Ovis aries: one gene and its partner. The protein of the gene in region 1 interacts with the protein of each later gene in a biochemical or structural test. Links are inferred from orthologs where the notes say so. Each region holds a gene or a part of one and is shown in the gene's direction. Other genes may lie near its edges.

Region 1 (6,129 bases):
TGTGGGGGAGTGTTTACTCAACAATGCTCTCGGAATGGAGGTGAGACTGAGTTGCTGGAGACTAGTGTGTTGTGGTGAGCATAGCCATCTTCCAGAGCAACGTCCCTGGGGCAGTGGAGGTGCCGGGTATCTGGATGTCCTGAGATGTCCATTCCCTGTCCTTCCAGATCAAGCTTCAGGAGTCCCCCGAAGACATGCCTGCGGGGCAGACGCCGCACACGGTCGTCCTCTTTGCTCACAATGACCTCGTGGACAAGGTCCAGCCTGGGGACAGAGTGCACATCACAGGTGAGGGGCTCCACCGTCAGGCCTCTGACCTGGTTGGGGGCAGATGACCTGGGGCTGCTGTTTTCAGTGCCAGCCTCTGACCTCCAATGTGGTGCCTTCCCAGACAGCAGGTTGTCTTGTTGTCCGAAATAACTAGTGAGCGACTTTAAATACGTGAGCCTTTTGGATTTCCTTTCTTTTTAGGCTTTTGGAACAGGATTTTAATATTTTTAGTCAAATTATTAATAACTGTACATTCCCTTAAAGAGAAATAAGAACTCTGTCTCACACTGAACACAGCAGCAGGCAGGCGCCGGGTGGAGGTGGGTTTCCCCAGTCAGCCTTTCGGCTGGGCTCAGAGCCCCCAGAGCCCTGTTCCCCCTGCTCTGGACTGAGAGCAGGCAGGTGAGAGGGTGTCCTTCGTGCCTTCAGGCATCTATCGAGCCGTCCCCATTCGCATCAACCCCAGAGTGAGCAATGTGAAGTCTGTCTACAAAACCCACATTGACGTCATTCACTACCGGAAGACTGACTCAAAGCGTCTGCATGGCCTTGACGAAGAAGCAGAGCAGAAACTTTTCTCTGAGAAACGTGTGGAGTTGCTCAAAGAGCTTTCCAGGAAGCCAGACATCTATGAGAGGCTTGCATCTGCCCTGGCGCCAAGCATCTATGAGCATGAAGACATAAAGAAGGTAACTGACCTCGAAAGGCTTCTTGCTTACGGCCAGGCCTGAAAGCTCAAGGTCAGATGGTGTGAACACCGGGAAAGGCTGAGCCTCGGGTGGAACAGGGGCCGCACCCTCATCTCCACCCCCGGCTCACCCGTTTCCAGGCAGGCCCTGTGTGGCTTCTGACCCGCTCTCGTCCTCTGATCTCTTCACCATCCATTTGCTCAGCCCCCTGCCTCTCCACCACCCACCTCAGGTGAGTGCTGAGACCTGTCTGTCCGTCTATCCAGGGAATCTTGCTTCAGCTCTTCGGCGGGACTAGAAAGGATTTCAGCCACACGGGGAGGGGCAAGTTCCGCGCGGAGATCAACATCCTGCTGTGCGGGGACCCAGGGACCAGCAAGTCCCAGCTGCTGCAGTACGTGCACAACCTGGTCCCGCGGGGCCAGTACACGTCCGGGAAGGGCTCCAGTGCCGTGGGCCTCACTGCCTACGTCATGAAGGACCCTGAGACACGGCAGCTGGTGTTGCAGACCGGCGCCCTGGTGCTGAGCGACAATGGCATCTGCTGCATCGACGAGTTCGACAAGATGAATGAAAGCACGCGCTCCGTGCTACACGAGGTCATGGAGCAGCAGACACTGTCCATCGCCAAGGTCAGCCACCCACCCGCTCTGATGTCTGCGTGGGGGTGGGGGATGGGGCCTGGACCACAGCGTCTGGACTTGCAGCTCGGGAGGCTGGCCAACACTCTGCTGTCAGGTCCCAGCCCATCTGAGTGTCCTCTACAGGACCTGGGTCCTCTGTGCGGTACTAACCTCTAATGCCTGGTGTTCACAGAACTTTTGTCCTAAATCTCATGCCAGGGATTTGGTTTTTGAGAAGATGTAGTCACAGCAAATGTTTACCCCCACCTCCATCCTTGGTGTGAAACTCAGCTTAGGCTTCCCCAGTGGATGCTGTAGGTACCGTGCTTGTGGTGCCAGGGGTTCCTGGCAAAGGCCACCCGAGGCAGGGGCTCTGAGCTCCTGCTGGCCTCAGCGTGAGGCTGCTGACCACGCTATCGGTCCCTCCCGCAGGCTGGGATCATCTGTCAGCTCAACGCCCGCACCTCCATCCTGGCAGCAGCAAACCCGATTGAGTCTCAGTGGAATCCGAAAAAAACCACCATTGAAAACATCCAGCTGCCCCACACACTCTTATCAAGGTATGATAGCACATGTTCATCAAACAAATGCTTTCATTTTCCTCATCTGTGGAAGGCTCAGGGTGAGGGTGAGAAGGAAATAACCAGAGTTAACACAGCCAGTCGCCGTCTCTTCATGCTGGTGTGGTCTGCATGTCTGCTTAGTCACGGGTCCTGAGGTGAGGACCACGCGCTTGCTCACCTTGACGGATGCTTGTTTCTTGGAGCGGTTGGGGCCTGTCTGCTCCATTCTGTCAGAAGCCCACCTCTTGCTGCTCTTGGTCCTATAGCCACTGTAGACAATCAGCAAAGTGCAGAGAGCAGCTTCCTGCAATAGACAAGGGTCTGAGAGCTGCCTTTGTGGGAGGGGAGATGTGACCCAGGCTTCCTCTCAAGGATGGATGTATTTCATAAATGGGTTTTAGAATTTGGTTCCTTCACTTCTTACACAAATAGTTCCTTTTCCCCAGCACAGCTCAATGTGTTTCACTCACCTCCTCCAGTCTTCAGAATCACAGCAGTGTTTCCCTCCAGAGCCTCCTGCTTCTGACTCACCTTCAGCGCCCAACACTTATTCCCAGGCAGACTGAGGGCTGGGGCAGGAGACCCGGGGGCCTGAGCTCCTCGGACCACCTGGGCCGGGCGCGCCTGCCACTCCCACGGAGGCCGCAGGTCCACATCAGGTGCGTGGGTGTCCTGACTGGGCACCATCACTGTGTCTCCTCAGGTTTGACTTGATCTTCCTCATGCTGGACCCCCAGGACGAGGCATACGACCGGCGCCTGGCTCACCACCTGGTGTCCCTGTACTACCAGAGTGAGGAGCAGGCACAGGAGGAGGGCATGGACATGGCGGTGCTCAGGGACTACATCGCCTACGCGCACAGCACCGTGACACCAAGGCTCAGCCAGGACGCCAGCCAGGCCCTCGTCGAGGTACCGCGGCCCGAAGTGCTGCTGGGCCCTGCTCAGCCCTGAAACAGTCTTTAGTCAAGAACAACACTGTCTTCTACAACTGTTTTCCTTCCTGTGTTGCAAAGCTGACTTTTCCACGTGTGGAAGAGGGAAAAGGATTATTTCTACAAGTTGTGTGCTCTTTTTAAAGTTCTTGTAAGCACAGTGTATTTAAGACCAGGATGCCTGAGTTGAAATATCGGTGAGGCTGTTAATACTTAGTGACTTTGTAATTCTGGTCTCTGAGCTGCATTTGCTCATTTCTAAAGAATTGAAGTATTTTATGTTCACTTCTCAGTACCTTTTAAGTGGGCAGCAGTGCCTGGTGACACGCATGGATGTTGTGACACTAGGAAGGTTCCTAGTGCTTTGGTGGGCTTTCCATCCTGACAGTTCTGAAGATGCTCAAGTGACAGTTAGAAGTGATTCGTAGTTTTCCCTCTGGGTCATCTTGAGAATCAGGTCATCCACACGAGTTCACAGTTTACCCTTTGTGTGCTCTGTGTCAGCGCCCCTTGGCCTGCTGCTATTTGGTCCTCCTAGGGTGTGAACAGGCCAAGTCCTCAGCTCCCTCCCCAGCGCCACAATCCCCCCACTGGTGCCACCTCTCCCCCAGATGAGGGTGGAGGCCTAAGGCTAGACCATGCTCTTGTTCCCCTCAGGACTTCCCTCCCTGCGGTCACCATGTGAGGAGTCAGCCTGTCTCCTGTCTTACAGGCCTACGTGGACATGAGGAAGGTTGGCAGTAGCCGAGGGATGGTGTCTGCGTACCCCCGGCAGCTGGAGTCACTGATCCGCTTGGCAGAAGCCCACGCGAAAGTGCGGTTTTCAAACAAGGTGGAGGCCATTGACGTGGAGGAGGCCAAGCGCCTGCACCGGGAGGCACTGAAGCAGTCGGCCACCGACCCGCGGACAGGCATCGTAGACATCTCCATCCTCACCACAGGTCAGCCTTCCCCCGACGTGGGTGCTGCCCTATCTCGAGTCAGAGCCCCCATGAACACGCGATGGGGCTGGGCGGAGGCAGACGCTGGCACACTCGGCCCAGCTCTGTCCCACCCAGCCGTCCAGGCACCGAGTGATTCAGGCCCCCACAAGGGGGACTCTGTGGACACAGACTCCTGTGTGGACTGCTGGGCTGTGTCTCAGTGGCCAGTAGCGGCTCTGAGCTTTTATAAAACTGGGGACAGGATTCAGACCTCACTCTGGCATTCAGCCACCATCCCCTTACCTTGTCTGGTGACAAGACTAAAGATTATTTTAGAAGAAATACTAGAGATTTGAAAGGTGTTCCCTTGATTATGGGAGAAACATCTTCATTGCTTTCTCTTAACTCAGGAATGAGTGCTACCTCTCGGAAGCGGAAAGAAGAGTTAGCGGAAGCATTGAGAAAGCTTATTTTATCAAAGGGCAAGACACCAACCCTGAAATACCAGCAGCTCTTTGAAGATATTCGGGGACAGTCTGACATAGTAAGTGTTTACATGGACATTTTGTTTGTTTAATAGTTTTCTTTTCCTTTGATGCTGCTTTAAAGTTTTTTTCCCTAGCTTTCCCCCTTCATTTACTGCTTGAGTAATAAATGTAGATACACATAAGAGAAGTACGGTCCCCATCCATAGTGAGTGATCACATTGAGAATTTTTTCAGTCTTCTGTGTGGATGTAGATGAGTAGTTTTGAGCAGAGTCAGTGGTTTCTTTTTTAATCAGTGACAGTCTTAGCTCTTTCTGTGACACTGAATCCACTGCGACATGTTTGCTCTGTCTCATGCCTTCCCCATCATGTACTCAACTGTCGGTGGACATTTAGTGTTTGCAGTTTTTGGCTGTTATTAGGAAAGCCAGGTTCACGGCAGGGGCTCTGCTGGTTGGGACCAGCCCTTGCCTGCTTTCCTGACACCCCCTTCTTGGCCCCACATGACCGCTGAGTGGTTCACACAGACCAGGGGCGCCAGGCCTGTGGTGCTTAGCATCAAGCCCTTTAGGGGAAGAGCTGGAGCATGAAATGTCTGTCCAGCCGCCCAGAAGGCAGGAGACTCCAGTGGTTTCTGAACTTGGGCTCCTTGTGTGTCTGGGGAGGGCAGCTCCAGATGTAAACTCTTTGCTCTTCCCTGAAGGCAATCACCAAGGACATGTTTGAAGAAGCGCTGCGCGCCCTGGCGGATGACGACTTCTTGACAGTAACTGGGAAGACTGTGCGTCTGCTCTGAAGGCCCAGGAGCAGCATGGTCCTGGCCCTGCCGCCAGCAGGAGGAGGGGCTTCAAGGTCATTGCTTGGCACCATGAGAATTTTCTCACGTGGCTTCACTGTTCCTAGGAAGCCCGTGTATTCATCTGTTGATACTGAGTGAAGCGTCCTAGGCCATCTGAGTGTGTGAGGCAGAGACTGAGTATCATGGAGCACCAGGGCTGAGTAGCGTGTCCCTACAGACAGCAGGACGCACTCTTCTCTGCAGACTGCGGTCTCAGTCCTGGTCTGTGCTGGACTCTGTCGGGTACTGGAGACGCGGGTGTTCCCATCCCTCCCTTTGAGGAGGTGACAGGCCCCGCTGAGTCCTCCAGGCTTGTTTACTTGCCTACAAGAGGCTGGTAACAATGGGGTTCTATGTTAACTTGTATTGCTTTGCTCTAATGTGTAAAATTTCTTCCTCAATAAGTGATAGAATAAGTAATACTTGGTTATCTGGCACTTTTCACTAAGAAAAAAGCTTTAATAAACACTGCTTTTACGGAAATTCATGATGTTAATTACTTCCTATAAGTCACTAATAAGTTTCATCATATTTAAAAATTTCGGTTTTAGCAGTCATTCTCATAAAACCACCATTGGCTGCAATCTCAGGCAGAAATACGACTATAACAAGTAATCCCTGAAACGTGTCACTGTGTGAGTTTGGCCTTCTTATAACTTAAAGTCACTATTCATTGGGAAAGTGTCCAGACAGAATTGAGTGCTTAAACAGCATTACATTGGGCGTCGGGGGTGGAATTTGAGGTCATCCAAGCAGTGTCACCTTTGACTTCCCCTGAAGTAATACATTAATGATGTTTTTC
Region 2 (6,129 bases), on another chromosome or scaffold:
AAATCCCATGGATAGAGGAGCCTGGCGGCCTGCAGTCCATGGGGTTGCAAAGCGATGGACATGATGACTAACATACACACACAAGGATTTAACCCTCACTGCAGTCAGAATCACAGAAGGCACTTTCACCTCCACGAGTGCTTTTTAATAACTGTCGTTTGCTCAGTTAAGTGAAAGCATTAGGAATCTGCTACAGCAGGTGTTACCAGGATCTTATGAGTGTTTCTAACAGAACCAGCTGCATAACAAATAAAGACAAAATTCCTTTACACCACATTTCCATAGCACTTGTGTGATGTATATGGTACCCATGCATTGTTGGAAGTATTGACCAGCTCTGGTTCAGTTCAGTTCAGTCTCTGAGTCGTGTCCGACTCTTTGCAACCCCATGAATCGCAGCACACCAGGCCTCCCTGTCCATCACCAACTCCTGGAGTTTACTCAAACCCATGTCCATCAGTGATGCCATCCAGCCATCTCATCCTCTGTCATCCCCTTCTCCTCCTGCCCCCAATCCCTCCCAGCATCAGGGTCTTTCACATGAGGTGGCCAAAGTATTGGAGTTTCAGCTTTAGCATCAGTCCTTCCAATGAACACCCAGGACTGATCTCCTTTAGAATGGACTAGTTGGATCTCCTTGCAGTCCAAGGGACTTTCAAGAGTCTTCTCCAACACCACAGTTCAAAAGCATCAATTCTTCGGCCCTCAGCTTTCTTCACAGTCAAATTCTCACATCCATACATGACCACTGGAAAAACCATAGCCTTGACTAGACGGACCTTTGTTGGCAAAGGTCTGGTTAGGTAGTTCTAATTCATGAAAACATGCGTATATATATATTCCTGGTTGGTTTTTTTTTTTTTTTTTTTTTGATGATTCACTTTTTAGTCTTGGCCAGTTCCCATAGTTTTTCAAAAGCTGGTTTCTTATCCTTAATATGACATTAAAAACACCTTTTTCTTATTTTGCAATCATCGTTGCAAGAGGTAGAGGTGTGCTGAATCTTGGGAGCAGGGCAAGTTTCATGAAAATTACTTGTTTGGTCCTGAGGCATCTCCTGTAGATTGCTTACTAGAGGGGAGAGGGCGGAAGTGACTGCTGTGGAGAACTTGGCTGTCACTTTTACTGGGTGGTGAAAATTAACGTCATGCGTGGAGAGAAGATGAGCATCTCCTGTCTCAATGAAGCGCATACAACCGTTCCAGGACACCACATGCTTACGTAGCACTCTGACTGGTAACGCGTAACCGCAGTCCACGCATAAAGAAACATCAGACAGACCCAGTGAGGAACATGCTGTTTTTTTATAATGGGTTTGTATTCTTCATTATCAGTGTCGTAAAAGATAAAGATTGAGGAACTGTTCCGGAGTAGAAAAAGATTGAAAAGAAAAAATTGATAGCAGAAAGCAGGCTGCGATCCTAAACTGAATATGCACTGAAGTGGAAAAAATACAGGAGACAATAGTGATGGGTCGGGAGACTAGCTGGAATATGTGTGGTAGGCTTGGTAAAAAGAGTTTGGTATTGATTTCGAATTTCCTGAGATTGATAGCAAGTACCGTGGTTATGTAAGATAATCTCCTTATTCTTAGGAAACACACTGTACTATTTAAGTGAAAGTCGCTCAGTCGCGTCCGACTCTTTGCGGCCCCTTGGACTATACAGTCCATGGAATTCTCCAGGCCAGAATACTGGAGTTGGGTAGCCTTTCCCTTCTCCAGGGGATCTTCTCAACTCAGGGATCAAACCCAGGTCTCCTGCATTGCAGGCGGATTCTTTACCAGCTGAGCCACCAGGGAAGCCCAAGTACTATTTAAAGGTAAAAATAAATGATGTGTGTGTAATGTAAGCTCAAGTGAGAAAAATGTGGGAGAGGGAGAGAGAGCAAGCGAATAATAAAGTAAATGGGGGCAAGGGTACAGGTGTTCTTTGTAATTTTTATTGTGACTTTTTGGAAGTTTGAAATTATTCCCAAATAAAAAGTTAAAAACAGTAGAAGAAGAACATGCTCTGCTTTCCATTTCAGGGTGATTGTAAAAGTGTTTTAAATCTGTATTAAAATGTTTTCAAGCAGCAGAGTGCTTTTCAGGTGATGGTTCCTGTGCTGCTCTGTCTGGGGCCTCATCTCTCACTGTGGAAGAGCTCTTGGGAAACTGTTAGCACCTGAGAGCCCGCAGGGGCTCAGCCTCACCCCAACTGTCATATCAGCTTCTGGTGTCTTGTGCAGCGCTTCCAATAAGGCACCCTAAACTAATGTACCTTCAGCTTTGAAAAGTATATTTTTCTTTCAGCTCAAAATGGGGTTAATCCTGACTGGGAGAAGAAAGTAATAGACTATTTTAAGGAAAAGCTGAAGGAGAATAATGCTCCTAAATGGGTAAGCTTGTTATTGCTGTTTGCTGGGGGTGGGTGGGCGGGCAAGGGTTGGGCAGACTTCCAATTTCTCACAGTAGTGATCCACATATAACTTAAAAATATATAAATTAACGTGTACCGCCCTCTGCCTTAAGTGCATATGTATTAAAAGATTTTGGTCTCTTGCAATTTAAATTCAAGCAAATAAATGCTTCTGTACTGGCACCTGTAGGTGGCAGTAACTGACTGTGGGAAAAAAAAAAAGGGCAATTGTGAGAACTTTGATGATCTTTTATTACCTTCATTTTAAAGAATTACTTGTATGAGTTTAAGAGAATAGCTCAACAAAGCAAATGCCTTTCTGCTAAGTGGAAAGTGTTCTGAAGGAAAAGCATCCTTTGAGATTATAATCAAACGTCATCATACGAACTGAACTTGCAAGAATGCGGAAAGGACTTTTGTTCAGCAGTTGTGTTGTTGACCGTTGAAATCATTTGGCTCCTTGATAGGGCTTGATTTTGTATTGGGGGTGGGTAGGTGGGGAATGGCAGTTTGTCTGGATATACATGTGTATGTGCTTGTCTCTGCAAAACAGAGACTATTTTGACTTGTTTGTTTCCCTTTAAGGTACCATCACTGAATGAAGTTCCTCTTCATTATTTGAAACCTAACAGTTTTGTGAAGTTTCGTTGCATGGTTCAGGATATGTTTGACCCTGAATTTTACATGGGAGTTTATGAAACTGTTAACCGAAACACAAAAGCACGTGTATGTATTGCTTTTTTCATGAAACTTAGTGTTTACAATTAGTAGGATTAGCTTTGACCTTGTGTTGTCTGTGGCAGTTTTGATTCTGATATCTTAATATATTGTTTTGATCATAGGTTCTTCATTTTGGAAAATATAGAGATGTAGCAGAGTGTGGGGTATGTATACTTAAAATATATTAAAAACTTTTTAATGAGCTTTTTTTCCTGGGCAGGTAATATTATTTTCCTTTGGTTGATCATAAATTTACTTATCTTGTATATAAGTTCTAAGAAGTCATGTGAAATGTTTTGTTTATTTGCCTTTTACTTGAGTTTCTCTGATATGATTTTTTTTTGATCTTCTAAAAATGTCTTAGAAGGTGGAATATTGTAAATGACAAAGTTAATTCCTTTCTTTTCCTAATATCTATACACTTGCTTTTAAAAATTACTTAAGTTCTTTTAAAATTAAAAGTAGAAGAAAAATGAAAGAATATTATTTCAGGGCTTTGCATGCGCTTAATTTTTTATACCTTTTTTTCTTTCTTTTGGCCACGTGGCACAGCATTTGGGATCTTAGTTCCCTACACTGGTAGCATGGAGTCCTAACCCCTGAACTGCCAGGGAACCCCCTACATGTGCTTCATTAAATTTGATTAAATCCTGCCCTCTCTTCCTGGGAAGAAAAAAGTAAACCTAAGCCTTCTTTGATAAAAGGAAGTAATAGAAACTCTCCTACATATCAATAATGGGAAAGGGAAGAAGAAAGAAGGCAAAATCCTAGAATAAATATTCTAGCTCAGCAGGCTGATCTGTGTGGAAGAATGGCCCTAATTAGGAAGGTTTCTATAGAGAATGAAATATAACTTCCTATACTTTCTTAGAGTAATGGACTCGTGAAAGATGAATTCGTTTAATCTTTTGATGACCTCCAAGTCTCCCAGTGTCTTTTTTAAGGGCATTTCCATGACAGGGTAATACATTGTTGTGCTGAGTCTAATGAGTCAACTTTATAATCCTGCATTCCTGTTTATGGAGCCCTAAGTTACATTAAGCTGATAAATTAATACACAGTTTTTCTTCTAGTACACAGTAATGCAGTGTCTCTCTAACTCAGTAATCTCAACATCTGGAAATTGGAGAATAAAATGGATGAGGGTGTCCATCTGTGATACTCCCAAAGGCAAAGAGTTTGTGCTGTGTTTCTGAAGAGTCATAAGTAAGAACACCATACCAGGAAAAGGGTCTTTGGCCCTGGAAGGAAAGAAAGAAAAGCCGCTTTGCTTACACATACCATCTCAGACTCAATTGGTGTCTCTGGCTTTCTTTCTTTCTTTGTTTTTCTCTTATAAGATAGAATATAGATTCTGTTTACTTGTAAGGGATTTTTTTGTATGCTATAAAAGTAATATGAGTGTCTTGAAATAATTTCTTTTTTCAGTCTCATCTCAGAGCAACATCATAAGAAGTGTATCATTAAATTCCTATTGGCTAATGTTGATAGCATTCCTGTGAGAGAGACAGTGGGATTACCATGAGTGTTGTCTTTGAAAAAAGTTTAACAAAGTACTGTGTTTATTTTAGGGATTTAATTTTGTAGCCTAGGGTATTATGTATTTTGGATTTGAGGGAAGCTGCAGTATTAATTGGGCTTTCCTGGTGGCTTAGACAGTAAAGAATCCGCCTGCAGTGCAGGAGGCCTGCATTCGATCCTTAGGTCGGGAAGACCCTCTGGAGGAGGGCATGGCAGCCCACTCCAGTATTCTTGCCTGGAGAATTCCCATGGGGAGAGGAGCCTGGTGGGCTACAGTCCATGGGGTTGCAGAGTTGGACACACTGAGCAAGAGTTTGTGCTGTGTTGCTGAAGAGTTGTAAGAGTGAGCACCGTACCAGGAAAAGGGGACTTTGGCCCTGGAAGGAAAGAAAGAAACAAAACCCACCTTGCTTATACATACCATTTCAGGCTGCCCACCTTGCTTATACATACCGTCTCAAGCTGTACACACTGCATTGATGATTGCATTTGAAGTGATTTTATGTCAGTTTTCGTTTCAAAAATGATAGTTTAGATTTACTAGTCGCTTGTTAATTAACTCCATATGAAGTATTTACTGTGATTTTTATAAACAATCTGAAAACACAGTTGCTAATTTTTTTTAATAAATAAAATTTTGTGAACATCACAGCCTCAGCAAGAAGTTGATTTAAACTCTCCACGAACTACTACTTTGGAGAGACAGACATTCTACTGTGTTCCAGTGCCTGGAGAATCTATGTGGGTAAAAGAAATATCCTTTATCTGAACCTTGTTATGTGTTGAATGCTTCCTGATAATTTTCTTAATTGAAGAGATAACAATTCATTTTCTTTTTTTTCAAGCTTAGTCTTTTTACCTCAATGAAGTTAGCTGGAAAAAATAATTTTTTAATTCTTGTTTCTTTTTTTTTAATATATTGAGGTGTAGTTGGTTTACAATAGTGTATTAACTTCAGGTACAACATAATGATTCAAAAATTTTGGTAGATTTTACTTCGTTCATATTTATTATAAAATATTGCCTATATTTATGGTGCTATGCAGTATATCCTTGTAGCTTATTTTTTTGTATACATCAGTCTTCTTTTAAAAAAGTATTTTTATTTTAACCAAGCTACGAAAGTAGTAGTAAGCTACCAAAATAGAAGTAGTCTTTTATTAGTCATAGAGGTAGCATAATTTTAGGATATTCCCCATTTCATGGAAATCTTTCTTTAACCCTTCATTTAACGCCTATGTTAATGCCAACCAAGCTCGAGTCAGCCCTTCAACGTCTTACACCCCCAGCCGGCACAAGAGAAGCTATGAAGATGACGAAGATATGGATCTGCAGCCCAGTAAACAGAAAGACCAGCACGTGACTGCCAGACAAGCAGGTAGCGTGTGCCGTCCCGCTTTCCGGAGACTTCCGCCCTCCTGCCATGGATTCATGTTTAGAACTCATAGCTCTATCGTGTAGCTGTAGATCTAGGAGCTGGCAGTGATTT

What was found. The genes of interacting proteins can lie anywhere in the genome.
Region 2: the proteins of MCM4 (region 1) and MCMBP form a complex in vitro, tested with the Homo sapiens proteins (2 studies listed by BioGRID). The link is inferred for Ovis aries from reciprocal best matches to the Homo sapiens genes MCM4 and MCMBP.

Annotation. Positions count from the first base shown.
Region 1 is NC_056062.1:32,580,369-32,586,497, forward strand, and holds the end of MCM4 (DNA replication licensing factor MCM4), read left to right. Parts: intron 1-167; coding exon 168-288; intron 289-699; coding exon 700-959; intron 960-1,225; coding exon 1,226-1,591; intron 1,592-2,014; coding exon 2,015-2,142; intron 2,143-2,848; coding exon 2,849-3,056; intron 3,057-3,791; coding exon 3,792-4,020; intron 4,021-4,412; coding exon 4,413-4,546; intron 4,547-5,192; coding exon 5,193-5,285; 3' UTR 5,286-5,810; downstream 5,811-6,129. UniProt on the Homo sapiens protein: Acts as a component of the MCM2-7 complex (MCM complex) which is the replicative helicase essential for 'once per cell cycle' DNA replication initiation and elongation in eukaryotic cells.
Region 2 is NC_056075.1:39,481,092-39,487,220, reverse strand, and holds part of MCMBP (mini-chromosome maintenance complex-binding protein), read left to right. Parts: intron 1-2,293; coding exon 2,294-2,379; intron 2,380-2,984; coding exon 2,985-3,125; intron 3,126-3,241; coding exon 3,242-3,283; intron 3,284-5,292; coding exon 5,293-5,394; intron 5,395-5,873; coding exon 5,874-6,018; intron 6,019-6,129. UniProt on the Homo sapiens protein: Associated component of the MCM complex that acts as a regulator of DNA replication.